Oryzias latipes: one gene and its partners. The protein of the gene in region 3 purifies or fractionates together with the protein of the main gene of each other region. This does not show direct contact. Links are inferred from orthologs where the notes say so. Each region holds a gene or a part of one and is shown on either strand. Other genes may lie near its edges.

Region 1 (8,306 bases), on a different chromosome or scaffold from region 3:
ATTTGTGATGTTTCTCGTTATGTACAGAAAAATGATGCTGACCGTTAATGATTCCATCAGGTTTGCTCCTATCTTTATTTTTTTAAAGATGAGCATATGATTGATCATTTTAAGATCAGCCCAACATTGGATCAGAGGCTAAAATCTGGGTGACATCTTGCCAGTGAGCAGACTCTCTCCCTGCAACGTCAACATAGCGATTAGTTTTGCTAAACACCTGTCCAACCTTGGCTGGACGTACCTGTGCTGTCTAGATTCAATCTCACGCCTAGATGAGGTCAAAGCATTGGTTTTCAGATACGTAGAGAAGAAGGAAATTGGGACGGTGGGTTTGTGTGATGAAAATTCTAAGGATGGAGTTAAAGGGAGAAAGATGATTTTACTATGTTGATCCTTAAAGAGCGCAGCCAAAAACAAAAAGATATTTGTTAGTCTTTTAATAAGACGTGTTTATATTATGCAGTAGAATTAAAAATGTAATTTGTATCAATACCAACTGTGATGTAATGTTTGTAGGGACCACAAGCCACAATTTTACAAAGTCCGGAGATAAAGGTTGGTGACCACAAATGATAGAGTTTCCAATTCTGGACACAGAAATAAATTAAATAGCAATTATTTTACGTCTTCCTAATCGCCTTTGTTTTGCGGATAGAAAACAATTGGAAAACTCGGTAATCACAGGTAGATATGTCAAGGGGTTTATTGTCTCTTTCGATAAGAAAAGTGGCTGGGAAGCTCGGCTGGTAGAAGGCTGCCACGCAGGAATCCGGGGTTCGATTTCCAGAGGGAAATAAACAATGCTACTGGGAGCAATTACCATATCAATGGTGAGAAATTAACATCACCCAGTGGGGGTCCTTCGGCGAGACCCTTAACGCTGCCTCCCGAGCGCGGTTCGGCTGCAGCTCACCGCTCCCCCAGAGGATGGGTCAAATGCGGAGAAGAATTTCCTCATTGTGGAATAAATAAAGTATCAATTATTACTATTATACCACATCTTCCCTATCTGTGCTCTTAACACCATAAATTTGTCACAGGACATTATTCAAGTGATTCCACAACTTTTAATATTTTTTTGAAGATCATTCAATTTATGTTATTAGGTGCTTTACGTCTGCAGAGTGCAGCTTATTATTCTGTATTAAGGCCTTGAACCTCTGACTGTTCCTTACCCCGCTCATTAACATTTTTTGTCACAACGTGATGTGTGGGATTCAGGTCTGCAACGACGAACATTGCGCATTACATCAAGTTTCCTTAATGTTTAGGGGGTGGTTTGGGGCATCTAATTTATCTTGTTCCTTTCAGGAAGCTGTGAAGTTGTTTCGACGTCATGAGATAGCTGCCGTTGGCTCACAAATGTCTTCTAAGTCCACTGTTCTGAATCGAAACCAAAGTATAAGCTATCCCAGTAAGCAGTGCGAGCCATATTTTAACACTATACATTCTTCAATGCAGAAACCAAAATCGGAAATGAACTGAACATGCACAAACGGCATGCACAGTGACACCCTTTGCAGTACTTAATGTTTGTCTTGCATCAATATGAGGCAGGCTTGGAGGTCAGGGATGTTTGCTACGTCATCATGAATGATTGGAAGCTGAATTTTGCTCCAAGTAAATGTGGCAAGAGGTTGGAGAAGATTGTTTTTCCTCCTCCACTTTTTACTATTGATTCTATAGCTGGTGAAGCAGCAAAACCCAAAATCTTTAAACAGGATACTTTTGAACAGAAATTGAGGTATTTCTTTTTTTTTTTTTTTTTTAGTGTTTACACTTGTCTATCTCATTCATAAATAGTCATTGTAATGCACAAATCATAGTTATTGTTTAAATGAAATGTAAGTCACTATGTATTCATTTGAACCTAAACCTGAAACATCTGAGCCATCAAAGGGAAATAATGTGAGAAAGAATACTTTTTTCATTTATAAAATAATTTAGCCTTTGTGAACATACAAGCATTATCACAATAGGTCTGATGGAAAAACAAACAAAAAAAACGTTTCAGACAAAATAAGTGAGTAAACCAAAGTGAAGAAAACATAGAAGCTCGGATACGCTTAAATCAACAACCCACGACAAAAGAAAGAGCTGTCATCACGCTGACATCCAAACGTGTTGATCAAAACAGCCCAAAAAGAAAACAAAATATCCCAACTCAACCATCACCCTTTCTTTAAATGAACTAGATTTTCCAACGAATATATATATTATGTCCAACTTCATCCTCATTGGACAATTGCATCATTAGCATTAGCATGTGAGACCGACGACAGATGATGGACTAAAAAAAACACAAAATAAAATAAAAACTGGGCAATGTCTTTTAAACATTTTACAATATATAAACTGCTGTTTTAAATATTCAAAACTGACATTTAGCGTTTACTTTGCTTCCCATCTCCATACAGGCCACTGCTGTCTGGGGTTTAAAAAAAACACATCGCCAGTTCGGGCAGCGGCCATCAACAAACTCAACGGCTAAATAGATATAAAAAGGTTTTGAAATAATGTCGAAATTACCTGTTATGCAGGGAAATGTCTTTCACAGCAACCGACCAGCGGTATTTTTCGTTACTAATCGAGCTATAAAGACGTCTGAGATATTTTTAACTTGGTGCCCCCACGTTCCGCAACGTAGTTTTGACTTTTCCCTACCTCTCCAGAGTAAAACTGGGATTCCTGGCATGAAGCTAGCTTGGATCATGACTGACGTTGTTTCTGACCAATGGCCTTTCGCACAGTGAGCGACTGGGCGGGGTCTGTGCTGCGGTGTGACGCAAGGCTAAAAGGCGAGAGGCAGAGGCGAGTGTTTAGAGACCTTGAAACCAGGCAGAGAATTCAAATGTCGATGACACTTATTTTACTGAACTATACAGCAATTATGAACATTTATTTAGCAGAAGCTACTAAAGAAGTCACAAAGTCGGATTAGCTTTTAAAGTTTAAATACACTGCTTGATGTAGAGTAAACCAGTTATTACAAAAAAATCAACCCAGATTTAAAATATCATTAGAAAACAAGTAACTTTTGTTTCCATCAGGTAAAAAAGAGGAAAACACTCTTACTTTGACGTAATTTAAAAAAGGCCCCAGGCAGACAATAATTTTGCTCAGCACTGTTTTTTTAAGGCTCTGATAATACTGATAACAATACAAGTTTAGTTATTTTACAACCAACCTTGTCTAAATTAGTACTAAAGTAAATGTACATGTTTAAGTCTCAGGACAAAATTTAGGGGGAAAAAAGGCAGACACCAACATTTAACTCTATAAAAGCCATTTGCAGTAATAATAACCCCTAAGAAACACTCATCAACCCAAAGTGGTTGACACATATCAAACAAAATGATCTGATTAGGATTTGAGTAAAAAAGCCAGGGAAGCAAACTGAAAACAAATTAAAACCAACACGTCAATTTTAATTAAAGGAATTTTAACATTAAATTCAGATTTTTTTTTTTTGACAACAGATTTCTAATTTTATTTTATTTTTCATATCTGAAAAGTTTATTTTATTTTTGTAAATTTTTAAACCAAATTCAAATAATCAGTAGACCTGCCTTTTTGTTGCTTTTATGAAAGCGTTTCTGTAGCATAAAATAAAAATAAATGTCAATACCAGAAATGCTTTTTCATTTTCAAGAGGAAGCTGCATTTTTTGACTCAAAATTAAAATGGAAAAGCATTTCTGGTATTGACTTTACTTTTTAATTATGCTACAGAAAAACCATCATATGCTTTTCTTGATCTGACATCAGCATAACAGTTTGTATTGTCAGAGGAGTAAATACACCTCCCAGCCAGTAGGTGGCAGTGTGTTGTTTTTACTGACACCCCGATACCAGTGTTGAAGACATGTGGGCGCGGTTTTGACGGTGCAACAGCGCCACTTTTAAGCATTTAATAACAACACAAGAGGAGACTACAGAGCGGTTTATACCGTGGAATTTGACAATAACAGAGGGTTCAGTTATGCCCGAAAAGGTAAAGCTCGAATGTTTTCCGGTAGTTATTACTGGATAACGTGTTGAAAACCAGATGAAAACTGATTTTTAAATGTTTTGTCCTCTGCTGCATCCAACAGTTGCTAGGACGAGCTGAGCTTGGCTTGCTAACGCCCGCGTATCTTTTCTATAAACACCAATCAGAACCAAAAGATTTGTTGAGTGCACACTATTAATTTTAAATGCAAGTTTGTTGTATCTTTCTTAATAGCCAATTTCTTGGTTTTACTCACATATAAAGTTTAGTTTGCAGAAACAGAGTTTTTTTTTACTTGCTTTGATTGCTGTTCTGGAAAACGCAGGAAAACTTTTCGTTTTTCCCCCCTTCTGGTTAATCTTTAAGTATTTGTAATTGTTCTTATTTTTTAATTTTATTTTTTATTTGAGCATTTTGATAGTTTAACACAAATTGTCAGTGCAATCAAAAATAATGAGTTTACATTTACTTGCTTTTAATTGAAGTACTGTTAAATACATCACGTGTAATACCTTTGTTTAAAAAGGAAACCTCACTGCGTGCATGCATAGAACAAGAAAATAGTCAATTTGTCTGTTATTCTATTAGAAACATGGTGGCCTAAATGAAGTAAAAGTATTGGGTATTTTGATTGAAGGACTGCCTTATTATCATCCCCAGGTCAGACAATATGGTTCAAGACAACGCACAGATTCGCCAGCAGGGTGCCCAGGACTTTATGGCGTACTATGACTTCGCCTGTGCCAAGCAGGAGACTTTTCCTGTCCCTGCTGTTAAAGTGAACCTTGACAAAGGGATGCTGAACTTTAATGCAGACCGGCTCAAACTATCTGACTGGCCACCCATTCTGCAAGCAATATCTATTAACAAGCACCTTCACCACATCGCTATAAGCAGCACTTACCAAGCTAGTAACACTTCAGGAGATACAGGTAAGCCTGAAAGTAACAGCAGTGGTAATGGTTAAAGAAAAACAGCATGTGTGAGTATATGGTCTAAGTTTGGATAACAATACCAACTGTATGAACCGTCAGTTTTGAAGAGGAGGCAGCATAAATCCACCTTTAAGAGGAAGATTCCAGCCATTCGCTCAAAGGAGATGACATTCAAGCTGTGCAAAGCCTTGGGAGACTGTTTAACTGTTTCCTCCAACCTCAAGACTCTGCAGCTTCATGGACTTCTGCTGAGAGAAAGGGACCTCATCGCTTTGACAAAAGTAAACAGACATATGGTTATTATCAGTATTTTTTTTTTTGCAAAGAGAAAAGGGCTAATATATTACACATTTATTATAGGACAAGGATAAGCTGAAGTCTGATAAACAGAGTTCTAACTGCATGTATATGTCCTGTTCCAGGGTTTGGCAAAAAGTGCTTCTTTGAAAAATCTCTCTTTAGCTAACTGTCCCATCTCAGATGAGGGATTGGAAGGTATGTATTATTATTGTAGTAACATTTATTTATACTTAATGCCTTATTCGTCTATATTTATCTCTGTTTGGATGTAAAACTCTGTTGATTGTATTGTTTGTGCATTATTCTTGCTTTGATTGCTTGAAATAAACCATTTCTAATCCAATATTTTCTAAACTTAAAATAAATTAATCACATGTTAAGTCTTTATTTTTTGTAATATCTGTATGTTCCAGTCATTTGCCAAAGTGTGAAGTACTCTACAACCATCAAGACAATTGATTTCACAGGATGCAGTCTTACATGGAGAGGGGCAGAGCATTTAGCCAACATTATTAAGGTATGATAGATACAATTACATTTTTTTATGTTTTCTAAAAGGCAACACAAAAATCAAATGGAGATTTATTTAATTGTTTGACTCTTTTTTTTCCTTCTTTCTTTTCTTTACCAGCTAAATACTTCATAGACATTTTTCTGAGATAAAATAAACCAAGGGAAACAGGCAATATGCAGGGAGTGTTTTACATGTTGACACATCATCAGTTTTCTGGCTTCCATTTTTTTTAAATGATTTGATTGTACTAATTGATATTGCTTATTAAAGATGATCAAATCATTTTTTAATAATGATGAAAAAATGTATATTAAAAAGATGTTTATAGCGTTTGGTTTTTCAACTATTAGTACATCTACTGTAGTCGTGAAATGAACAAAGTTTCGCATTTCACTTCCAACAAATGAATCGATTTGATTTCAGTTCCCACGCTCACAATTCAAGTTATTTTTTCTTTGATTTAATGTCACTATATTTGAAAAAATATCTATTCCGTAATGAATTTCTAGTTTTTTTTTCAAAACAAAAGGAACAAAGAAAGAGAAATATGTCATACATTTGAAGAATCGATATTGCAATTTCTAAATGAAGATTGATTTCATTGGCTAAACTATTTAAAATTCCAATCAAAGGTTCAGATAGCAGCATTGTCCATTGTTGTTTCAGTATCAGGGAATGCAGAGACATGGTACAGCATGGGCAGAGTCTTTGCGGTATCGCCATCCACAGCTGGAAGGAATGAGCGGTCTTCGGCGAATCACTCTTAACTGTAACACTTTGATTGGCGATAGGGGTGCAGCTGCTCTCGCTCGTGAGCTGGCTGAGGACCTCTGGATTAAAGGTACATAACCATTAATCATATTCCTGTACAAAGACTGGCTGTGGTGTGGGAACTTTACATTTTTTTGTCTGATTGAACAGCTTTGGACTTACAGCGATGCGGCCTATCTAATGAGGGAGCTCGCCGTTTGCTGGAAGCCCTGAAAACAAACTCCTTTCTGTGTGTGCTGGATATCCGCAGTAACCCTTTAGTTGGTAAGACTATTCTGTTCTTTGTTTTCCACATCACCGCTTACATACGCTGTTAGTTTGCATTTAACTACTCATTTATAAAAGCCTCAAGATGTGATCAATTATTTTTATGATTGCATAATTACTCTGTAAAAATTAGGATTTTGGGGATGTTTTAAGGCATCATTTCTCCACAGATAAAGCTTTGATGAAAACGGTGATAGAGAAAGTAGAAATGAATGCAGACGGGCAACCACTGGAGGTTAGTTTCTGGAAGTAATGTATTTTTTAAAATGCATCCATATGTTATTTTATATATAGACTTAAGCCATAGCTTTTAATATTTTATTTTGTTGCAGTACCACTGGATCAAGCCGGCTGCTACAGAATCGCAGAGAGTTTCTTCACTAAGCAAACTTCACTCAGTCAGAGAAAAAACTTTGTTTAAAAAAGGTATAAACATTCCCTCCTTTTGAATCCTCCTGCAGTCTGTCCAGAGCGAAAGAGGGATTGGTTTGAGGCTTCAGAGGAGTCAAAAGGTTAGGGGTGTGGTTACCACAATAGGAGACAACTGCAAAGGAGATAGAACCTCTAACAGGCCCACTTAAGTTTGAGGGAGGAAGTCTCAAACAGCTGTTTGTTTAATTTCATGGACCCATTTTAGTTGACTGTTAAGTCAAACACGAGAGCAGATCCATTTGTCATGATCTGCGTTATATTCTGTTTATGTGGGCGAGTCAAAGTTTCATTTTTAATTACAAAGTGGCGTTTATTTTTGTCAGGTAAATCAAAGGTTTTGCTATTTCCAATTCCTGTGATTGAACAGTTTGTTCTGCAAACGGTTCCTTACATCAACTTGTCTGTGTAATGTCTTTTGTCATCTCCTGAGAACTTAAAGACGAGAAGAGAATATGTTTACTGTATGATCTTTTCTGACTAATGTAGCTAAAAAAATTCATAGAATTCAGATGAACTGCTATGGAATGAAGAAAGTTTTTGCAGAAGTCAAGACAAAATTAGGCTTTAGATTTATTTTAAAAAAATTAAAGACTTTTTAAAGGATTAAATATCAGCTAACTTGAAGTTGTTCTTATCTTTTTATTGCTCACTGGTACAAATATAAAGAAAAACAGGGTTGCTTATTTTTTTAATAGTTTTTTTCTTTAAAAGTTTATTTATAAAGTTGTTTTGTTTTTTTTATAATTGTCAACAATCTGTGTGCCAAAATCTGTCCACCCTCTGAAGGGAACTTCATGTTTTTGTCTATTTAAAGTATCTTATCTCTGTATTTACAGCTACAAAAACTCTTGCTTTCTTTTCTTTCCTGCTCCAGTCACTGCTAAAGGCACATCTCCCGGAGGTCGATGTTCGGGTGAATCTAGGACAAGAATCAAGAATTCCCGCTCCTGCTCTATCCCATGGCGGGCTGCTGCCCGAGCCGGGCGTCAGAGGTGAGATGTCAAACTCTCAAGTGAACCAACCAGAACAATTAAATGAAAGTTTACTTATTTAAAGCACCGTTTGGATGCATTAGTCATGTGAAGGCTTCAAGATGG
Region 2 (6,642 bases), on a different chromosome or scaffold from region 3:
CGTGGTTGTGTAGCTCTGTGAAGAACGTGTCCAGGGGGCTCAGCCTTCACACATCAGGAGGTGGGATAGGCTCCAGCAACCCCGTAGCCCCAAAAGCAGCTTTAAAAAAAACGGATGGACCGCTAATACCAGTGTTGTGAGATTATCGTGCATATTTCTTTTACCGTCATTTAAATTTAACTTTATTGAGCGTGACACACTGTACATTCTAATGAATATTTCAAATATCTTTAAGCTCTGTGGTCTCTATATTACAATCTCCTTAAATCAATAAACAAAAATGGAAACTCCAGAAGTTTAAGGAATGTCAAAGATATACATTAATAGAACATAAATTAATGTAAACAGTTATGTGTTTGGCTTTAAAAAAGACTTCTTAAAATTAAAAATAAAGCTGTTAGGTCTGTTTTTTTCTGACCTTTACATGAATTAAATTCTTTCAGCTTCACCTCATGATTCAAAATGTTTATTTTTTTTAAAGTTTTTTAGTAAATCATTGCTCTCAACAGAGCCGATGTAAAGATAAACCTAATGTTTTTCTTGTGGGATCTTTGGTCTAAAGTTGTGATTCCAGGTTTTTAATGGGCTGGAAAATCATTTTTTGACGTTTTCAGTGTCTGAGTGACTCATGACAGGCTGTGTTTAATATAAAGTTCAGTTTATTCTTTTTTTATAGAAATATTCAGTCCTTATAAATAAATTCCACCTGGTTCTTTGTGTTTTGACAGGAAACTGTTTGCAGCAAAGCCGGCATTTTAAAAATTCCAGAGGTTTCTCGGTTAAACTCTGGTTCTTGTGAAAACAGTTCAGTCTCAGCTTCTTCTTCAAAGCGTTCCCAGTGGTCTGTTATTTGTGATCATGTCGTTCTTTTGCTAAAATAAAAAAGAAAAGCTGTTGTGTTTTCTAGGACATAGTTTCTGCAGAGCAGCAGAGGTTCGTAAGAAATTCACCTCTGAGTTGTGGGTGGGACTGTTCTTCATATAAGTCTTCCATCAACAGAAAAATGCCACTAGAACATGTTAAAAAAGACTGTTTTCATCAGGGTGGGTCTTCAAACGTGGCACAATGGGGATGGAATCACACATGTAGAGGAACAAACAGCAGTTTGTGTCATTTTCTTTGTACATAGGGTCTTTTAAGCGTCCTTAAATGTAAAATCAGTCGACATCCCGTAACGTTGATCAGAATGATTGAATTGTGGGGTTGTAGGTATCGACAGATTCTGGAGAAAGCCCTTCAGCTCATAGATGCGGATCAGCTGGAGTCCTTGAAGGCCTTCGTGGAAGCAAGTATGCATCTTTAGTTTTTTCACCGCCCCCTGTTGGTTCTGCATGAAGCTGCGATCCTCCTGACTCCATGACGGTCTTCTGCTCTTTCAGTGGTCAACGAGAACGTCAGCCTCGTCATCTCCAGACAGCTGCTCACCGACTTCTGCACGCATCTGCCCAACTTGCCCGATGGCACCGCCAAAGCCGTCTATCACTTCACCCTGGAGAAGATTCAGCCCAGGGTCATCTCCTTCGAGGAGCAGGTAAAGGTGTCGAACCCCTCAACCTCAGTGGAAACGTCCTCCTGCTCCAGGGCGCTGAGGCTCTCGTTCTTCCCAGGTGGCCTCCATCAGACAACATTTAGCAACCATTTATGAGAAGGAGGGAGACTGGAGGAACGCGGCGCAGGTTTTAGTCGGGATTCCTCTGGAAACGGGACAGAAGTGAGAACGCGTTTCTGCTCATCTGAACATTATGCCTCCCTCGTCTTACCAATCCCTTCTCCTTTTAGACAGTATAATGTTGACTATAAGTTGGATACGTACCTGAAGATCGCCCGGCTCTACCTGGAAGACGACGACCCGGTTCAGGCCGAGGCTTACATCAACAGAGCTTCGCTCCTGCAGAACGAATCCTCCAACGAGCAGCTGCAGATCCACTACAAGGTACGCGACTTTTTCCCTTCCTGCTGCAGACGTTTGTGCAGACCCGCCGCAGCTCCGCTGTCCTCTGTCGCAGGTGTGCTACGCCAGGGTTCTGGATTTCAGGAGGAAGTTCATCGAAGCAGCTCAGCGGTACAACGAGTTGTCCTACAAGTCCATCGTCCACGAAACCGAGCGTCTGGAGGCTCTGAAGCACGCCCTGAACTGCACCATCCTGGCCTCCGCAGGTAGCAGCTGGCTCCCGGGGAAACGGGCCTCTCCGCGTCCGGTTCCTTTAAACGATGTGCGTCGTTTCAGGACAGCAGCGCTCACGGATGCTGGCCACTCTGTTCAAGGACGAGCGCTGTCAGCAGCTGGCCGCCTACGGCATTCTAGAGAAGATGTACCTGGACCGCATCATCAGGGGTAACCAGCTGCAGGAGTTTGCTGCCATGTTGATGCCTCACCAGAAAGCCACCACCGCTGACGGTAAGAGCAGAAACCAGGAAGGCTCAGGGTGGAAGGGCAGTTTGCAGACGGAAAAACGGCCCTTAGAGCAAGCTTCTCCCATCTTGCTCTCCAGGCTCCAGCATCCTCGACAGAGCTGTGATCGAACACAACCTGCTGTCTGCCAGTAAACTCTACAACAACATTACGTTCGAGGAACTCGGCGCTCTGCTGGAAATTCCACCTGCAAAGGTGAGACGCTTTGGAATGGAACCGTAGACTACGAGCAGGTCGGAGCAGGGAAGGGTACTGGTGTAGACAACACCACTGGGGTTGCACAAAAATGCAAGATGTTTTGTTTTGGATTCTTGTATTCTATTCAGTTTTACTGCACAATTCTAGCCAATTATTTTACATTTCCAGTGAGTGTGGGTGGGGTCCAATAACAATAGGCGGGGATGGGCGGAGCTTCCATGAAAATGTCGAACCAAAAGTTTGTCTGTACTTCCCAACAAACATTCAAGCGCTCTCCTTCACACTGTCATGCTGATTCATCACACTTACATGGGTTTTTTTGTTAAAACGGGTGTTTTTTGTTGTTGTTTTTTTTTTTTTTTTCATTTTTGGATCTCTGGTTCAAGCAATGTTTAGGTTCCAGAACATTTTCTAAAGTACCGGTTCAGCACTGGATGAAATCCAAATATTGGAGCGGGTGGGGGAGTGTGGGAGGTTCGGATGAGGGAGTCAGCGAGAACGAAACCACGAGTCCAAACGTCAGCTCGTCCATCGCCTCGCAGCTTCAGCGGCGTTGCAACTGAAGTCGGTTCTCCGCTGATGTAAAACGCCGCTTTTTTCCCGCCAGGCGGAGAAGATCGCCTCCCAGATGATCACTGAGGGGCGCATGAACGGCTTCATAGACCAGATCGACGGCATCGTTCACTTTGAAAGTGGGTCAAACGTCTTCCCCTCAGTTCTGTTGCTTCTGTTCGACACGTTTGTTCTGATTACAAAAGAAATATTCACTTTAAAATTTTTGTAGAATATTAATGGAACTTTTTCTAAGATCACTCCTGATATATTTCCTGTAAAGTCAAAGAGAAAATCAAAGATCTATTGTTGTAATTTTTGGAAAATACATTTTTTGATGTATTAAAAAAAGGAAAATTCACCGGAACATCTTTTGAAAAGCATGTTCAGAACTATTACATGTCAGTTCTTTGGTGGTGTCATAGCAGGAATGTTCCTGCAGAGGGCAGCACCTCCTCTGTGATTCAGTGTTAGTAAAAGCTCTCCTCCTCTTGCAGCCCGTGAGCCCCTCCCCACGTGGGACAAACAGATCCAATCCTTATGTTTTCAAGTAAACAACCTCCTGGAGAAGATCCGGCAGGCCGCTCCGGAATGGGCCGCGCAGGCTTTGGAAGCCCAGATGACCCAATAAACCCCTCCACGCCCACGTCACCCGGCCCCGCCCCCTTTTAAGTTGCGTCTTCCTGCCTCAGAAATGATGTGGAGAACTCAGCCACGCTGCCATCGTTTGTTCCAAGCGGTTCCTCATTGGTCGAATTTACTTTTCTGATGGACCGGACCTTCAGATGAGACTGTTTTTGTTTTCATGGTGGAGAATTGGAGGATTTTGCATAAAGCTGATATGTGGAAAGATGCTGAGTTGTTTCTGTTTCAGAAGGTTCTTCAACCTAAACAGTCAAACTATCCCAACCCGTAACCGCAAACACGAAAATGTAAGTTTAAATAGATAAGAGACCAAGTAAAACAGTCGAATCCTCAGTCAATTATTCAAGATTTAAAGGTCATTTTTTCTTGAAAGTCTTGGTTCCTCTCAGAGGTTTAAGGGGCGTTTCACATCGAAGCTGCACAACATTTTATTTTCACGTAGTTTTGGCCTGAAATATAAAACAACCTTTTTCTTCAAGTTTCAGCTTTTCCTTGTGACAAAGTAAAGCAATTTATTCAGTAAAAAATCACATCGACACAAAAAACAAAGTTGAAAAGTAATTATTCTGATATTAAAGGGATTTTTTTTTACTTTGAAGCTTAAAAAAGGAAGTTGAGTCAAAATTAAATCTGTGTTCAAGTCATTTTTAGGAAGAAATTAAATTTCCTGTGTTACTATTGACTGTATGTGAGACCTGGAGCGAGTCGGTGTGATGTCATAGTGAATGTCAGTCCTGTTCATGTATACAGTCAATGGAATGATTTCAGGCTGAACAGTAGAAGATGATGCAGGACAAACGCCGCCTGGACAGACCGGTGCTCGTTTTTAAAAGGTGCCCTGCTCCTTCCGATGCTTGATGTCCCTCTTCAGCTGACAGGTGGAGCAGACGGGGCAGAACAGCGACATCAGGCAGTCGTTACACATGGAACCCTGAGAACACAGAACCTTCGATGAAGAAGCTGCTCCTCATCATCACAACTCTGAAAAGTCATCTCTATAGAATAAACACGTTTGGATTCAAGTATTTCACTTTATAGTAGAAATGTCACCGTCACACAGGACTGATTCTCTACACGTTTCGCTTTCTCTTATCGGACATCTAAAGAAAATGTGGAAAAAAGCTGAAAATGAACAAAGTGAAGCTCAACACAAAACCCAAACCAAATAAAAAAATTACAATAAGCTGAAGGCAGATAAATTAGAACAAAAACAAACAAAAAACGCCGTAATAACATTGAAGGAAAGTCAAAGAAAATGATTTGTACCAAATAGGATTGAAAATGTTCATTAAGGCAGAAGAAAAGTTAAAAATCTTAGTATTAAACTAGCTATAAACTAGTAAAGTTATTGTAAATGAACCAAAAAAAACTACCTACATGCTAACATCATAATCAAAATACTCTAACATAACGACCATTGTTTATGGGGGTCAGTGTCTTGTGGTGTTCCCCAAGGTTCTGATCTGGGACCCATTTAACTCATTCTCTATATGCTCCCCCTTGGGAGACTCATCAGGATTTCTTATCTATACGCTGATAACATTCAGGTTTATTGCTCCTTTGATAAAACTAATTACAAAAATCTTTCCTATCTACGAGACTACTTTTACTGCTTTTACTACTCAAAGTGTAGTAAAGTGACGACCATTTCCTTTAATAGCTCCTCTGTCTCTAGATTCTCACTCAAAGCTCCTTGTCAGAATTTGTTTTTATCACCTGAGGAACGTGGCTAAACTGAAGACAATATTTCTTCCAAGTTTGATCTTGAGCTATTTAACCCTTGTGCTATCTTAGATGACCCCCCCCCCCCCCCTTACTTTGACGTGTTCTCCCTACCATGAGAAGCTGGATAAAGGTGGAAAGATTTCATGTAATCCATGGACACCAGTGAAGATCACAAATCATTGAAGAAAAAAGGTTCAGAGCACTGTCTAGTGGGTCTAGATGACCCAGCCCCCAACACCTAGGATAGCACAAGGGTTAACCACACTTTTCTCTCTTCTCCTTTAGACCACTGCAATTCTCTTTTAACCTGTTTTAACTAAAAGTCTCTTAAACATCTCCAATTGGTCCAAAACTCTGCAGCGAGGCTTTTAACTGGAACCAATAATCGCACTCATGCCACGCCTCTGCTTTTATCGCTACACTGGCTTCCTATTCAATTCAGAAAAGATTTTAAGATTTTGATTTTAGTCTTTAGAGCCTTTCACGGACAAACCCCAAACTATATTTCTGACCTTTTGACTCCTTACACTCCTGCGCGTTCCTTGAGGCCAACTGATAGGAATCTTTAATGTGTTCCAAAAACTCGTTTTAAAACTCAAGTTAAGACGTTTCTATTTAAGGAAACTTTTAGCTGACTTTTACTTGTGTTCACTTTTATTTATTTGTTTGTTTACTTCTATGCCTGAGTGCATTTAATTTGGGTTTTACCTGCTTTAGACTCCCGGTGCCATTTTTGTGTTCTGTCTCTGATTTTATGTTGTTCTAACATTGTGAAGCACTTTGTGAGCTGTTCTCTGCGAAAAGTGCTAAATAAATAAATATTTACTTTACTCACTAGTTAGAAGAGGGGTACTACATAGGTCTGATGGTTAAAAATGCACATTTGAGTAAAGAGGAAAGCTAATTTAGCTGAAAAAGGTAAAAAACATCAATTATGCGACTAAAATAATGTTTTTTTCTGCTGATTGTGTCTGAATCTCTTTTTTAAACTCGTTTTTTAGCTAAAAAAGTATAAGAGAAAAAAAATAGAATTAAAACAAAAAAAGTACTAAACCAAATCTTGATTCTGCTGATACAAATATTTGTTCAAATGTAATTTTAAGTTCTGA
Region 3 (8,120 bases):
AGGCTGATGGAAGGAGACCAACCTCCTGATACTCCCCCAAAGGAGTAAGATATTGCAGGATAAGCCTCTGCTCGATCTCGGGGGTTAAAGGGTACAGATGATAGTTGTTGCCGATCACCCAGGGACTCATCTCAGACCAGCTGCTGTTTGAAAGCTCACTGAAGCTCCTCTCTGGCTCAGGCAAAGAGAAACTATGCTTCTGCTTTGACGTCCTTGCAGTCTCCCTTTCAGTCCTTCTTTTCAGGTAACTGCTACCGTCAGGCAAACCTGGGTGCGTCGATAAACCTGAGGCGGACATGGGCTTCATCATGGTTTTAACGGCTGAGTTGACGCGGCTGCTCGTCTTGTGAGGAGAGTTGAGATGGAATGAAAGCTCGTTCTCAGGCTCGTTGGGCGAAAAAGAAATTTCCCGATCTTCCTCTGGTCCCATCCCCTGCTTGTCAGCTCCATTTCTACTTGGTGTGAAGGGCTTCTCTTCAAAGCTTCGGTCAACAGTTTCCTCGTCTAAAGGTAACAAAGGTGCACTTAGACTCTTCCTTGGGCTAATTCGCTTGATTTCCCTCTTGTTCTCGGCATCTTTATCTTGAAGCTCACGCAAACGATGCAGCATCAAAGGAACCTTTCCGATAAAAAGAATTTAAGAAAACAAAAAAAATATTAGGAATATACACTCATATATGTGACATTTTACACTTTTTTAGGAATTAATACAAGATATAAAAAGTCTTTACTGACCAAAACAGAGTTCTCCTCTCTGTAGTTGGCAGCAATGTCCTGGTTCTCCATGGCACCTGCCAACAATCCTGTGGCATAAATTCTGAGAGGCTGCTCGGCCTCTTGAGCCCACTTAAACAGCCGTTCCACTATTCCCTCCTGACAAGACAAATTTGTAAAAGCAGAACACTTCAATTACGAGATTATAAAGCCTAATTTAACGGGGGGATGTGTTAATTAATTTGATGCTTGACCAAATAAAAACATTTGATAAAAAAGCAACCCTTTAAATAGGAAAGAAATGTCACAGTAACATAGATTTACTTTTACATCAAAACATGGTGTTGCAGGAAAGACAAGAAGCAATAATTGAAGATTTAATCTTTCTTGCTATTAATTTTGAAATTACCTACATAGGCAAAAAAAAAAACTAATGAAAAAACAAAAGCTACTATACTTGCTTTAGCTAATGATATTTTACTAAGTACAAGATTCACAAGTATAATAGTTATAGTCTAAGTAGTATAATTTTAACAATACATCAAAGTGTGTGAAAATTTACTATTCCATCACTTCACAGAATAATTAAAGCATTAACCTGCTTTTCAGTATCTGTAAATTAGAATAATGTTGGAATGCATAAAAGCAAATATGAGGCAACTCATATACATTATTCAAACACATAAGCAGTGTGCATTAATGCTAAACAATGTTCCTGCACCAACTCCAAGGCTATGTCCAAATTTTCTTGACTACGCCCCTCACTACTAAAACTATATAGTGCAGGACTATTTAGTATCCTGGATTTTAAAACCAATGCAGACAGACACCATTCTCACTTCTTTTTTTTTTATTGCCAATTACAGCACTGCTTTCCCAAAAAAACCTGATAAGTCCGAACATTGTCAGTCTGCCCCAGGGCAGCTGTGGCTACATCGGTAGATTACCATCACCAAGTATAAATGAGGAGTGAATGAATAATGGGCACGAAAATAATTCCAATCCATTGTTATTATTATTACTTAACAAAGACTATTCATTAATCTTCTGTGTTCTGAAAAACTTGGATAGCTTTTTTAAAAAGAAAAAATTGTTCAAACGCAATACATTGTGGTGTATATTTGCCAATCTTGTGACCGTTGATGCACACTAGATTTTCACAGACTTCTGGGAAATTTATAGGGCAATGGATTTTGAAATTTTAGATTCGGACAGCTCTAGAAAAAAGCAAACGCACTATATAGTCCACTAAGTAGAGAGTAGTGAAGGAATTCGGACACAGCTCGAGTGTTAGCAATTCAGTAAAATACTGAGTAAAATCTTTTATCCTGTGCAGGTGTCCTCAGTACTGAAAGTCATTTTGAAGTAAGTTTAAAAAAAAAAAAAAGAAACACATTGGCAATGAAGTCAGAGACAACAAACCTTTTCTTGAAAAACCACAGCTGTCTCTAATCCAGGCATGATGTTCTGCAGCAGACGGCAAGCTGCTGCATTGAGGGGGAATTCCCTGCTCGTCATCACATAGTTGTTCACCAACTAAAATACAGACGTTTTAAAATGATCTTCTGAGTAGACTATAGAATATGCTTTAACTTTTACAAGAAAAAAAGAATACATTTGCTCATCCATTCTTACAGTGTTCATGAAGTCATCATTCTTGAACAGGATCTTCAGTAGATGCCCTAACATACATTCAGGATCAGCTCTCCCTGGTGGTCAAAAGGGAAAAATACAAAAACATAGAAGAAACTTTAAACTTGTATTTGAGCAATTGTTTGTATTTTTCTCTTCTCCATACCAGGATGCCGATCATCAAACGGGTCGGGGTCTGCTTTGTGGTACTCCTCTGTCTCCTTTTCAACAAGCTCAGATATTCTGAAAGTTACCGCACATCAAGAGATTTAACATCACCTTTAACATCATAAAACACAAAAAATCAGAGACGCACTTACTTTGTAAGAAGGTTAACCAGGTCTTGTGTGCTGCCGTGCTGTTCCCTTTCCCACTGCTCCAGCAGAGCAGTCAGCTCCGCTTTTGAGTCCACACTGGCGGGTGCTGACGCCATTGTGATGCCTAGAAGGGCCTGAAGAACAAAAAGTGCACCCCTTTATTTAAATTAACAAACGGGTAGGAGCATGAAATCAGACAAGTATTGCACTGATAACAGATTTTTTTGCGCCCTCCAAGAACTGGTGACAAATATAACTATTTATCTTAACAGGCTGAATAAAGTCAATTAAACATCCAACGAGATGAACATTAAAACAGTAGGCTGAAATTCCATTCAACACTTATAAACTTTGTGTGAGGAACTGCCTCTGAGGAAGTATGGTGACTTTTCACAGGTGCAACTGGAAATACTCAGAACAAAACGGTTAAAGACTCAAAGACCCTCTCCGATCATCTTTCATTCCATTTTAGAGACATTCCTAGTGGTCTTTTAATTATGATGATGCCATGTTTTACTTAACACACACAAAAATACAAAAAACCTGAGTCACTTTTTAGGACAGTTTTAGTTTCATACTCGGAAACACATTTTTAAGCTTATTTGTTTCTTAATGAAAAAAATGCCACATAATGTTAAAAACACCAAAAACTACGGTATTTTCATTCGTGTTAAAGTTTACCAGTGAAAATGAGGGCAAATCTTTAGCTAACTATTGGGCTCAAAGTGTCAATTTTGGAGCTTTAAAAAAAAAGGGGGGGGGGGGGTCACATAATCCACTAAGGTCGGGTGCACTGAAGACTTGTTTTGGTGTAAACGAATCACGCAGAAAACAGGAACCGATAAACTCATGTAACTTTTTTGCCTGCTGGTAAATAAACAACCAGACACGTCCCTATATGACCTCAACTACCTGGTTTTTTTATTAACCCATGTAGTACTTTTTGTAATATTTCTTGTTGAAGGCATGGTTAACCCTTGTGCTATCTTAGATGACCCCACCCTTACTTTGACGTGTTCTCCCTACCATGACAAAGGTGGATAGAGGTGGAAAGATTTCATGTAATCCGTGGACACCAGTGAAGATCACAAGTCATTGAAGAAAAAAGGTTCAGTCAGAGCACTGTCTAGTGGGTCTAGATGACCCCACTCCCAATGGTAAAGTCCTTAGGATAACACAAGGGTTAATAATTACAAGAAAATTCGTCCTTTTTTAATTCTCTACTGGTAGCTTTTTTTAAACTCACTCTAATGATTTTTTGTAGCGATTTGTTCAGCACTTACTGTTTTCGGCAAGAATTAAACCTAGTAAGCAAGTCGAAAAAAGGGTTGCTTTTTCTGGTCATCTTTTTACTGCTTCCACCCGTCGTTGTTTTATTTAAATAGCGAATCGTTTTGATATTTTATTTCGACAGCTAGTGTTGACTGTTAATCGCCATAATAATGCAAGTCGTGTTTTTTAATTATCTCCTCCAAATGTTTTATCAAAAATCCAGTTAATATTTGATTTTGTATCACAAAAAAAGCGCCAGACACAAAGACTTGGGGGAAACAAACATTTCCGCTTCACTGCTTCATAACCGACTGTCTGCACGTGTGAGTTCCTCACGGGAATGCAACTGTCAAAGTTGACCCGAAGTTAATTGCTTATTAATCTTTTTAGAATTGTCATTTAGTCAGAATTGAAGTATAAGTTATTCATTTAAACGTTTTTAAAGACATTACTTTGTTTCTTTAGCTGTCCTGAGCAACACGAAAGTGCCGTGCTTCATGCGTTGTTGTTTGCTTTGTTGTTTGCTTAGCAAATACAGTTGCTTCACACGGCAGCTGAGCTAGCCTAAAGCGCTAGCTAGACACAATTGTCTCTTAAAACTCTACATTTGTAACGTACAATTGCTCACAAATTTCGGGAATTGAAAAACATCATGGTCAGATGTTTTAATGTCATTTACATTAATAAAAGAACTCGTATTTCAAAACACAAGTGGGCTTAGTACAAGTAAAAGCATCACAGATGAACCTACCTAGTGGTTAGCCAGAGCGCTAACTTTACCTTGCTCCTCCAAGTTCCTGCTTGATATCCTCGATATAAACAAAAAATCGACCTACCAAAATAAGTCCCAATTTAGCTGCTGTTTGAAGAATTATAATACATTGATTACAATTTTACCGGCGTCCCTTAATTCGCTTATTTTACAGCTTTCTGTTCACGGTTTATTATCATTATGGCGAACACGTTCTTGACGTCATTCAACTGCGACCGTCCATTGTTAATGACATCATTCGAAAAAATAAAACTCGTTTATTAGCATTTTTTATGAAAAATATAGTCAACATAAAATACAAATGCATTTAATGTGTAATTATTCAAATATAATAATTATTGAAATATAATAATTATTAAAATCATAATTGGAGATTGATTTAGTCAAAAGGTTAAATTGATAAAAGTCTCATTTTTTTCCTCCATTTGTCCCATATTTTCCCTTTATGCTTTGATTTCCACCGTAATTTCCAACTTATATATGGGTAAGTGATTTCAGTCAGTTTTACTGACCCACACATCCTGTGGCTTTGATTGCTAAAACAGAGCTCATCATCTGCTCCCACAATTACATTACAGAGCAACAACAGGTAGCAGGATAATTATCCGCACTGACTTTGAACTCATTTCCATAAACAAAATAAATGTGGGATTCCCCTTTCCATGTGTAGGTGACTTTTGTGACAGGGATCAGCTCGATGGTTTGGCGCTGAAAAGAAAATAAGGTTATTTTGAATGGATTTAATTGAGGAGATTTTGAATGAATCCAATTATACCAAAATAAATAAATAAACACCTGCCGCAAAACGCGAGATGTCTTAAAATATTTTCCCTGGTGTTCACTGACAAGACGCTGGGAAGCCTGTACCACAGTGGGATCTGGAAAGCCCATCACAGGGTACACCTGAAACAGTCAGTCACAAGCATAACATAAGCAACGGTCACTTCTTAAAATGTACATTTACTTAAGCAAAAAAATACAGAACTGATAAAAACAAAACAAAACTTCCAACTCAAGTAAAAGATTATTTTAAAAATGTAATGATTGTTTACTTGCATAAAAAACACCATTTATGACCAGATTGTATTCTAAAAAGACAGTTTAAAAGCACTGTTACCATGGGTTGGGAGTCTTTGAAAAGCTCCTTGCCAGACACTTCACGAAGATTTTCCATCTGAAGTCCACTGCGCTGTTCCACAACATAATCATCAGTGTTGTTAGTCCTGCAAGGAAATACAAAAACATAATCAATAATAGAAGGAAAATAAATGTTAACCGAATAAGATTATTATAAAGATTTCTCTTCTAAATATACAGTATAGATTGCTGCTTCACAGCTGTTCCAACCATTTCACAGTGAGGTTGATGAAGACAAGAAGCTGCTGTTTTCCATTGCAAATCTCACACATCCTGGATCCTTGCCCATTACAGTCATTGCAACTGTAAGGAAAAACATTTGGAAACTTAGCAAGTTCAAAATTGTGCACACTGTTGTATTTTAAACTGGTTTCCATTTTCGCTTTGTTATAAATCTAAAGGTGTTGACTGCGTACGTCTCTCTGCCTCTGCCATTGCAGTGGTAACATCTGTCATCTCCAATGCGGAATCCAGATCCATTGCACACCCAACAGAGTTTCTGACAGAAAGAACAATTCCATTCATTTGCTTCTTGATTGAAGCAGAGCGGAACCTTTTCATCCTCTGGAAAATACTTACGTTACCAGCTCCAACACAGTCTTTGCAAGGTTTTCTCCCCATTCCCACGCAGCTGTGGCAGTTCTGATGATCAGTTTTTGTTTAAAAAAATAAAAATAAAATACAAAAAACCTACTAATGTAAGATGCAAAGATGCAACTATGTTATAATATTTTCTTATGGCTTACCTTCACAGATGACGTGTATGGAACTTTGATGCACTGCCTCCCTTCCACAAATAAACTGGGTAAGTTTGCAGGAATATCCCAAGGCCCCGGAGGTGGCTGTGCATAGGCATCCACTGTTTGGCCTGGTCCAAATAAAACACCTTGTTAGGCTGCCATAAGGATTGACCCAGTACTAGTAAACTACTAGAGAAAACATTGTTGTCCTAAACTTTGTGCAAATGTACCAATAAGAATTGATGCTACTTTGAAGACAAAAAGTAGAAACACCAAATGTTAGTTTGATTTAGATTTTTCTTTGTTTGCTCATTTTGAATTATATAAATTCAATATTATTGAAAATATAACATTAAATAAAAAAAGTTTGCACCAGACTGAATCATGCTCATGCTGCTGTTAGATCGGCACTGCAAGGGATTGTGGGATACCATTCCCTTTGCCTGTCTAGATGGATTTGGGTTTAAGTGTGGGTTTTTGACCAAATGTTTTTACCGGTAGTTGTTTAGCCGTCTTACTGTGTATTGTCTAGTTATTTTGTCCTACGATGTTTAATTCTTTCTGCACCATGAGTGAGAGGGAGGGAGAGGATGATGAGTTTATTTAACACCCCTACATTCTATCATTTTAATGTTAAAGACGGAGTAATGGTAGATGATTGCATGCTACAATTCCATATTGTTTCTTTCATTTTATTGTTATAAAAATGAGAATATCTACAGGCTAAAACATAGACACATGTAAACACATGAGAGTTCAAGAAGTACGATAAATTAAGATGGAAAAAGATTTAATTGGAGTAATATGACATTTAGATAAATATCTAAATTTAAGTTGTAAAAATAAATATTGAATTGGATAGACGTAAAAAGTTAGGTTAAATAAATTTAACTCAATTACTTGTTACCAATAGAAGTATTTCATTCAAGTGGGCAAAACTGGATAAGTTATTTGTGTGTGTGTATATATATATATATATATATATATATATATATATATATATATATATATATATATATGCGTCACATCGAAAACAGAAATAAGATCAGAAACTCGTGCGTTTAATTTGTCTGTTCTTTTTCTCTCTTTCTTTTGCTGATGATGCAGCCGTGTCATTTTTTTGATGGGTGTATAATCTTCATACGCCGTCATTAAAATCTAGGAGTCCGTCTCACTGAAGTATAGGGCTCTCTTTTTTTCTCTCCACACGTTTCCATGGTGACTCCGGAAATCGGCGATCCATTGAGAATGTCTTTATGTACTTGACATGCACACGCATTAACCGAGGGTTACCAAGTCGAGCGTGATTACGATAACTCATATCCGGCCTTTTGAAACCGACATACCCAGAGTAAGGGTAAGATTTCAGGGTTAAAGTCAGGGTAGTTTAAATGTGCTTTCTGGAATACCCCCCTGGAGGCCGGGAGTTTGAGACCTGTAGTCTATAACAATATGTGTTTCCCAGACAAGCTGGTTTAAATGAAATCATTTTTTGGGTTTTCACCATAAAATATACATAATGTGTTTTTTATGAAT
Region 4 (6,596 bases), on a different chromosome or scaffold from region 3:
AAGAATAAAATGTGAGATTTTATTTTGGGCCATATCGCCCAGCCCTGGATGGATGGATGGCTGGATGGATGGATGGATGGATGGATGGATGGATGGATGGATGGATGGATGGATGGATGGATGGATGGATGGATGGACGAGCCCCGGTTCTGATCCAACATTATGTCGGCCAGCATCTCTTTGAACCGAGGCGCTCTGTTGGCTGTGTGAGCGTTTGTGAAACCAACGCGGTTATCTGAAAGGAGCCAGGTGTGCTGGTCACCACGGCAACAGGGAGGGACTCAACAAGGAGAGAGCTGTGGGTCAATAGGATCTGGGTAATTAGATTCAGAGGAATCCATTCATGTGGAGGCGTTTGTCATCCTCTGGTTCGGTCATGTGATGCTCAAAGGAGGGGAAGTGCAGCGTTTGAACCCACATGTGTTGGAGGCTGTTCCCTCACGCTCAGGATGAAGAAATAGTCCGGATTTTTGTCAGATGAATGTTCTTAAAATCTCTGTGTCTTTGGTTACATTATTTTTATCCAGGATTATAAAAACGCCATTTCTGTTCTTACTGGGACAGGAAATGTGATGGTTACACACTAAAAATGTTCTGAAATGTTTCAGGGGGGCTCCAAAGCCACCATGGCGGAGCCGCAGGTCCACGTCACCCCGCTGTACGAGGAAAACATGAACAAGCGCCCGGTCCTGACCTCTCAGCCCAACGGCCTGGCTCCACTCAGCTCCACCCGGCCAGGCCTCCCTCTGCCAGAGCGACAGTCCTCTGAGGCGGCCCAGCACGGACGCCAGAGCAGCGCCACCTCCAACAAGCCCGCCGACAGCAAGCCAAAGACGAACCCTCTGACGGCCGAGCAGGCCATGAAGCAGTTCATGTCCAAGATGTCCTCGTTCGAACACCACGAAGTGTTCAGCTTCTCCGAGGGTGAGCCGCTCTCCGTGGGCGGAGATGACGAACCGACTGGAAACACAAAATAACATTTTTGTTTCTTCTTTGAAAACCTTTTAGTGTATTTCATTGGTCCAAGCGCAAAGAAGAGGTCAGGGGTTCTCGGCGGTCCCAACAACGGCGGTTATGATGATGATCAGGGGTCTTACATCCAGGTCCCACACGACCACATCGCCTACCGCTACGAAGTCCTGAAAGTCATCGGCAAAGGGAGCTTCGGACAGGTACGACTCCGGCTGAACTTTCAGGGTTTTTGTGGTCAAAGTGTAGTCATTTCAGGTCATACCTGCCTTTTTTTTTCTTTTTCCTTCTGAGCTTCTTTTTGTAAAATATTCTTTTAATTTGCAAAGTTTGTCTGAATGTTCAGAAATGTGTTTGTCTGTGGTGGTGTTGGGTGAAACCAGTGCATCCTCTGAAGACCAGAGGTCACGAGCCCTGTGCTTCTCCTGCAGGTGGTGAAGGCCTTCGACCACAAAACTCAGACCCACGTGGCCCTGAAGATGGTCCGCAACGAGAAGCGCTTCCACCGGCAGGCGGCGGAGGAGATCCGCATCCTGGAGCACCTGAAGAAGCAGGACAAGGACTCCAGCATGAACGTCATCCACATGCTGGAGAACTTCACCTTCCGCAACCACATCTGCATGACCTTCGAGCTGCTCAGCATGAACCTGTACGAGCTCATCAAGAAGAACAAGTTCCAGGGCTTCAGCCTCCCGCTGGTCAGGAAGTTCGCCCACTCCATCCTGCAGTGTCTGGACGCGCTGCACAAGAACCGGATCATCCACTGCGACCTCAAACCTGAGAACATTTTACTCAAGCAGCAAGGCCGGAGCGGCATCAAGGTGGGACGGCGGGCTTGCGCAGTAGAGGACCACTTCTGGTTTGTGGATCGCTAACGGATGAACGTCTTTGTCTCCTGCAGGTCATTGACTTTGGTTCCAGCTGCTTTGAACATCAGAGGGTTTACACCTACATCCAGTCCAGGTTTTACCGAGCACCAGAGGTCATTCTAGGTAAGAAGATCCACCTGTTTTGGTGAATGAGTCCAACCACAGAAACTTGTAGGAAACTTGTTCTCTGGTTTGGCCTTAAAGGTGCTTCAATCTTCTACTAGTCCGTTTCCTTTTAATGTGCAATTTCAAATTAAAGTCGATCAGCGTTTATCGCAGGAGTTACGTTCTAAAAATAACTCGCGATAGACAAAATCTGTTATTTTTTAAAATAATTTCTAGAGGATTTAAGGCTGTAAACTACACACTTTATCCACTTTTCTTAGACAGATGTGAACATTTTCACAGTTTTCTCTCTTAAACTCTCAAAGTTCAAACTTTTGTAGAAAATAAGTTTAGAATGAAAACATAGATCTGATCGTGACTGAAGATGCAAATGTGTCCTCTGTGGAGGACATTTCCAAAGCGGAATATCTCCCAAATGCTGCAGACTAATGATTGACGTCCTATTTGTGTCTACAGAGGACAGTTGGGGCTTTTCAATGAGTCCATGTGGAGGACTGGGGTTCTGGGAATTGTAGTTTTTGGTGGTGACCGGACCAAATTTGAGAGGCAAAAGCAACATATTAACTTTTATGTCACATTTGCACTCAAATCTTCATAAAGCTGCAGGAAAACCAAGTGCTACTTCCGTTCTTCTGTGCATCTTTTACTTGAAAACATCCAGCACCAAGTTTTCCTTGGAGACTGAAGTGTGTTATTCTGAGCGTGTGCAGCATGGTTGTAGTGGACATGCGGGTCACTTTGATTCCCTTCCTTAGGGTTCCGGTCCGGTCACTAGAGTCTGGTACACGACGTGTTCAGACGTAAACTGTGACATCCTAAAAAATGATGGGATGTGAACAGTGAACGTAGCTTTAGTTGCAAAATAATTGAACCGTTGTGATGAAACGGTTCCACGTGGCTGGGAGTCCAGACCTTTGGTTTTCTGGTTTTCCTCATCTTCATCATGATGGAATTAAGCTCCAATGCATTATTGCATTATTCATAAAAATAAACCATGCTTTTTGGACTATGCGTCGCACCAGCAAAACAAAAAGAAAAAAAAATCATGTCAAAGTCGCACTTTTGGGAGAAAAGTAAACTTGTGAACAAATCCACCAAGCCGGACGTAAAGAAGTCTAGGACCTGAAAATGAGTGGAGGCTGACTCTGGTTTGTCCTTTTCTCTGAAGGTTCCAGGTATGGGATGCCCATCGACATGTGGTCGCTGGGCTGCATCCTCGCCGAGCTCCTGACTGGTTACCCGCTGTTACCAGGGGAAGACGAAGCCGACCAGCTCGCCTGCATCATAGAACTCCTAGGCATGCCAAGTCAGAAGATCTTGGATGCCTCCAAGCGGGCCAAGAACTTTGTGTCCTCCAAGGGATACCCGCGGTACTGCACCGTCACCACGCTGAGCGACGGCACCACGGTGCTGAACGGAGGACGCTCGCGGCGAGGGAAGGTACGCGGTCCCCCCGGCAGCAAGGTGTGGAGTACGGCGCTGAAGGGCTGCGACGACCCGCTCTTCCTGGACTTCCTCAAACAGTGTTTAGAGTGGGACCCAGCGCACCGGATGACGCCGAGCCAGGCTCTGCGCCATTCGTGGCTCAGGAGGCGACTCCCCAAGCCACCAACAGGAACCACTCCGGGAGACAAGACCTCTTCGTCCAAACGTGCCACCACTGACGGCACCATCACCTCCAATTCTAAGCTCGTAACCTCCTCAACAACCTCCTCCTCCTCCAAAACCAGGACTAACTTAGCTGCAATCACTGACGCCAATGGCAACATCCAGCCTAGGACGGTGCTGCCCAAACTTGTCAGCTGAGAGTGAATGCACCCCGCTCGCTGTGGCGGGAGACGAGAGCTGAGCTCGCAGCAGCCGGTGGGACCTGAATAAAACCGGTCTCTCCGGTTTTAAAGATCGTACGGTCTCGTTCAGCGTTGCTGGGGTGCGTTCAAAACAACTACAGCCAATAGAAACTCCGTGCTTGAGTGTGAACACGTGCTGGGATGGAAGTCTTTTTTTCTTCTTTTTGTGAACTGGGGTACGTTCAGAAGCTCCAACCTCCGTTTGAGACGAGTTGTTTTTAACAATTTGAGCAATTTGAGGTGGGTTCTGCTCAGACAATCTGAACACGCCACCTTCTGCAGCAGCAGACTCACAAACACAACAACAACAACAACATGGTGCTGATGGAGGGAACAAGGCTTTGAAAACATTTTCTGTGCAAATAATGTTCTTAGCTGGATTTATTATTGAGTTTAACACCAAAAAATTCTCTGTCTTAAGAGACTAAACCTGCAGTCCGACCTCTCAGAGAGCAGTTTTCTTCTCATTGACTGATATTTCCTTTTTAAAGCTAAAGAAAAAGATAAAAAAACATTTCAGTTTGCTTTTTTAGTTCATTATCAAACTCGCACATAAATATTTTTACAGAAATGACTCGTAGATCTTACAGCTCTGACTCAGCAGTCTACCTGTCAGGTAGCTAACATTTTGGTGCCTGTCAACTCCTACCTGGCACTTGTTCCTCATAGGACAGCCAGTTGTTTGAGGTTAGCTGTCGTTCTGCTACCTATCCTTCAAACTAACTCACTAAAGTCAGCTTAGCAAACTGAGCAAAGCGCGTGTGCAAGTCGTAGCTGCCTCACGGTTTGCCTTCTTTAGCAGGACTGTGTTTAGCCGGATAGCATGTCAGCTCGCCACTGCCCAGCCTTATGACGCACAAACACAAGGATTGTTCTTCTGTGCGTTCGGCAACGCAGAGAAGACCTTTGAGCTTTAGCAGCTAGCATAGCACGTTTGTTTTTAAATCTGAAAAAATGTGAACGATTGAAGATCCAGACGGTCTGAGGAAAAACCGATGCTTTGGTGTAGAAAAAAAACTGCTAAAATTCTAAGACTTTTACTGAAACCAAATGATTTACTGTTAATGAAGGAAATATGCAGAATCACAAATGTTAACCACTTTAAATGTAGCTAAAATAAGACATCAAAGGTCTGGAAAAATGAAGCTTTATGCAGAAAAAGGGTAGAAAAATGAGTTGACTACTGCATTTTACTAAATCTTACATTCAACTTTTAAAATAGTTACCTTATTATTGGGCAATAATCTGATTAAAGCTCAGCTTCAGATTCTAACACCAGTTGGAAACAAATACATAAAAACAGTAAATTGTTGTTTGTGGTAAAAAAAAAAAGCAAAAAGAAACTAATATTTTTTCATAATCAACATTTTCCTGATGATTTAAGTAAAATCACTTTTTTACCAAAAATAATTCAGACCCCGTCTTTTTTTCCCATTTAATAAATCATTACTTACAAAAACAAATGTGCCAAAACAATGAAAATGATAAGGCTGTCAAAAAATGTAAAATTATTGAAATCATGGTTAAAATGAAAACTTTAATGACAATTTTAATACATGTTACTTTTACAGCTTTTTGTTAAATTAAATAATTTTATCCTCTGTAAAAAATAGGAAGACAATTGAACGTTACAGACTAGATCACTTCAATGTAAATGTGTCCTTGATAAGATCAAAAGAAGACACTTGTACAGGATTTAAGGCCATATTCATTCTTTACTGCGGCATGTTTATTATGTTTAACTGTTTTCGTAAATGTGAGGCGGATCCGCTTCATATTTACATGGATGGAAGCGGAGCCGCCTCACATTATTATTTCAGAAATAGATAAACTGAAGGAAAGGCTCATTTGAGGAGAAACGCTGGGTTTTCAGTGGTTGATTAGATCATCATATCCAAAAAAATCTTTGTATTTATATCAAACGTATCCAGTTTCAGCTTTTTTACTCTGTTATATCCTGTTTCAGGATTTTTAAGTATTTCTGTACAACTACCTTCAGTCAGACCTTTTTAAAAGTGTTTTCTGTTTTGAACCTAACTTTGTCTTTAGACGGTGAATGTTTTCTGCCTTGAACAGAGTAATCGGGTGGAGATCGTCCTCCGCCTGGAAAACAACCTGAGGTCAAATCAGTTGGCTGACCGTCCAGGTTCAGCTTTGGTTTAGGTGAGCGGGGAGGAAGAGTTTTATATTTAACTGCCACATTTTATTATTTATAAATCCAATTGTTGTGTGGAGATGTGCCGTGTGTGTGTGTGTGCACTATGGGATGGTTTTTCTAACCTTGTTCCCGTAAAAGCACACGTGGAAACGCACACACTTGTCTGAACGCACTCCGAAGGTCGAGGAGGAGGAAGAGGAGGAGGTTCCCAGGGTCGGCCTGGCGATGTAATGTAGCACACGGGAAGTGAGAGACAGTTACATTATGCACAGGAGGAACGAACGATGTCAAACATGCAGACACTACTTGCTCCGCCCATCTCAGGGGAAGCTCTGCCCATTCCCGATGAAGGAGGAGGAGCAAGAGGAAGAGAGGAGGAGTCTCTCTGATCTGTTTGGGTTTTTTAATGATTTGTTAGGATGTTTGTTTGTGTGTTTTGTGTTTCTTTAAAGACAGTTGTGAGACGAAGAGCTGAGAGTTGTAACTTTGTGCCTTCAGTATCTCAGCGCCATGCCACGCCCACCCAACACACCCGCCCCCACAGACGCAACAGTTGCTAATGAAGTTGGTGACAGCTCGGCGGCATTTGGCACAGCTTTGACACGAGTCCTCGTGAGACTTCGA

Evidence for each region.
Region 1: the proteins of dcaf1 (region 3) and cep78 purify together in Homo sapiens (affinity purification with western blotting; 3 studies listed by BioGRID, with this or other methods). This does not show direct contact. The link is inferred for Oryzias latipes from reciprocal best matches to the Homo sapiens genes DCAF1 and CEP78.
Region 2: the proteins of dcaf1 (region 3) and cops4 purify together in Homo sapiens (affinity purification with mass spectrometry; 4 studies listed by BioGRID, with this or other methods). This does not show direct contact. The link is inferred for Oryzias latipes from reciprocal best matches to the Homo sapiens genes DCAF1 and COPS4.
Region 4: the proteins of dcaf1 (region 3) and dyrk2 purify together in Homo sapiens (affinity purification with western blotting; 5 studies listed by BioGRID and IntAct, with this or other methods). This does not show direct contact. The link is inferred for Oryzias latipes from reciprocal best matches to the Homo sapiens genes DCAF1 and DYRK2.

Annotation. Positions count from the first base shown.
Region 1 is NC_019867.2:7,049,419-7,057,724, forward strand, and holds the start of cep78 (centrosomal protein of 78 kDa), read left to right. Parts: upstream 1-3,863; 5' UTR 3,864-3,993; intron 3,994-4,650; 5' UTR 4,651-4,660; coding exon 4,661-4,922; intron 4,923-5,024; coding exon 5,025-5,206; intron 5,207-5,347; coding exon 5,348-5,420; intron 5,421-5,638; coding exon 5,639-5,742; intron 5,743-6,405; coding exon 6,406-6,580; intron 6,581-6,660; coding exon 6,661-6,774; intron 6,775-6,947; coding exon 6,948-7,012; intron 7,013-7,109; coding exon 7,110-7,203; intron 7,204-8,083; coding exon 8,084-8,201; intron 8,202-8,306. UniProt on the Homo sapiens protein: Centriole wall protein that localizes to mature centrioles and regulates centriole and cilia biogenesis. Involved in centrosome duplication: required for efficient PLK4 centrosomal localization and PLK4-induced overduplication of centrioles.
Region 2 is NC_019870.2:2,888,221-2,894,862, forward strand, and holds the end of cops4 (COP9 signalosome complex subunit 4), read left to right. Parts: intron 1-1,209; coding exon 1,210-1,289; intron 1,290-1,379; coding exon 1,380-1,531; intron 1,532-1,607; coding exon 1,608-1,711; intron 1,712-1,779; coding exon 1,780-1,933; intron 1,934-2,006; coding exon 2,007-2,157; intron 2,158-2,227; coding exon 2,228-2,398; intron 2,399-2,492; coding exon 2,493-2,608; intron 2,609-3,218; coding exon 3,219-3,303; intron 3,304-3,660; coding exon 3,661-3,794; 3' UTR 3,795-4,017; downstream 4,018-6,642. Other genes in the region: plac8 (placenta-specific gene 8 protein), read right to left, coding at 4,635-4,739. UniProt on the Homo sapiens protein: Component of the COP9 signalosome complex (CSN), a complex involved in various cellular and developmental processes.
Region 3 is NC_019865.2:16,281,826-16,289,945, forward strand, and holds the start of dcaf1 (DDB1- and CUL4-associated factor 1), read right to left. Parts: upstream 4,923-8,120; 5' UTR 4,687-4,922; intron 2,798-4,686; 5' UTR 2,780-2,797; coding exon 2,667-2,779; intron 2,590-2,666; coding exon 2,513-2,589; intron 2,424-2,512; coding exon 2,350-2,423; intron 2,251-2,349; coding exon 2,137-2,250; intron 874-2,136; coding exon 736-873; intron 620-735; coding exon 23-619; intron 1-22. Other genes in the region: protein SSUH2 homolog, read right to left, coding at 5,275-5,415, 5,503-5,610, 5,825-5,930, 6,055-6,147, 6,261-6,343, 6,424-6,486, 6,591-6,712. UniProt on the Homo sapiens protein: Acts both as a substrate recognition component of E3 ubiquitin-protein ligase complexes and as an atypical serine/threonine-protein kinase, playing key roles in various processes such as cell cycle, telomerase regulation and histone modification.
Region 4 is NC_019881.2:22,943,553-22,950,148, forward strand, and holds the end of dyrk2 (dual specificity tyrosine-phosphorylation-regulated kinase 2), read left to right. Parts: intron 1-608; coding exon 609-924; intron 925-1,008; coding exon 1,009-1,172; intron 1,173-1,400; coding exon 1,401-1,790; intron 1,791-1,870; coding exon 1,871-1,961; intron 1,962-3,132; coding exon 3,133-3,770; 3' UTR 3,771-3,867; downstream 3,868-6,596. UniProt on the Homo sapiens protein: Serine/threonine-protein kinase involved in the regulation of the mitotic cell cycle, cell proliferation, apoptosis, organization of the cytoskeleton and neurite outgrowth. Functions in part via its role in ubiquitin-dependent proteasomal protein degradation.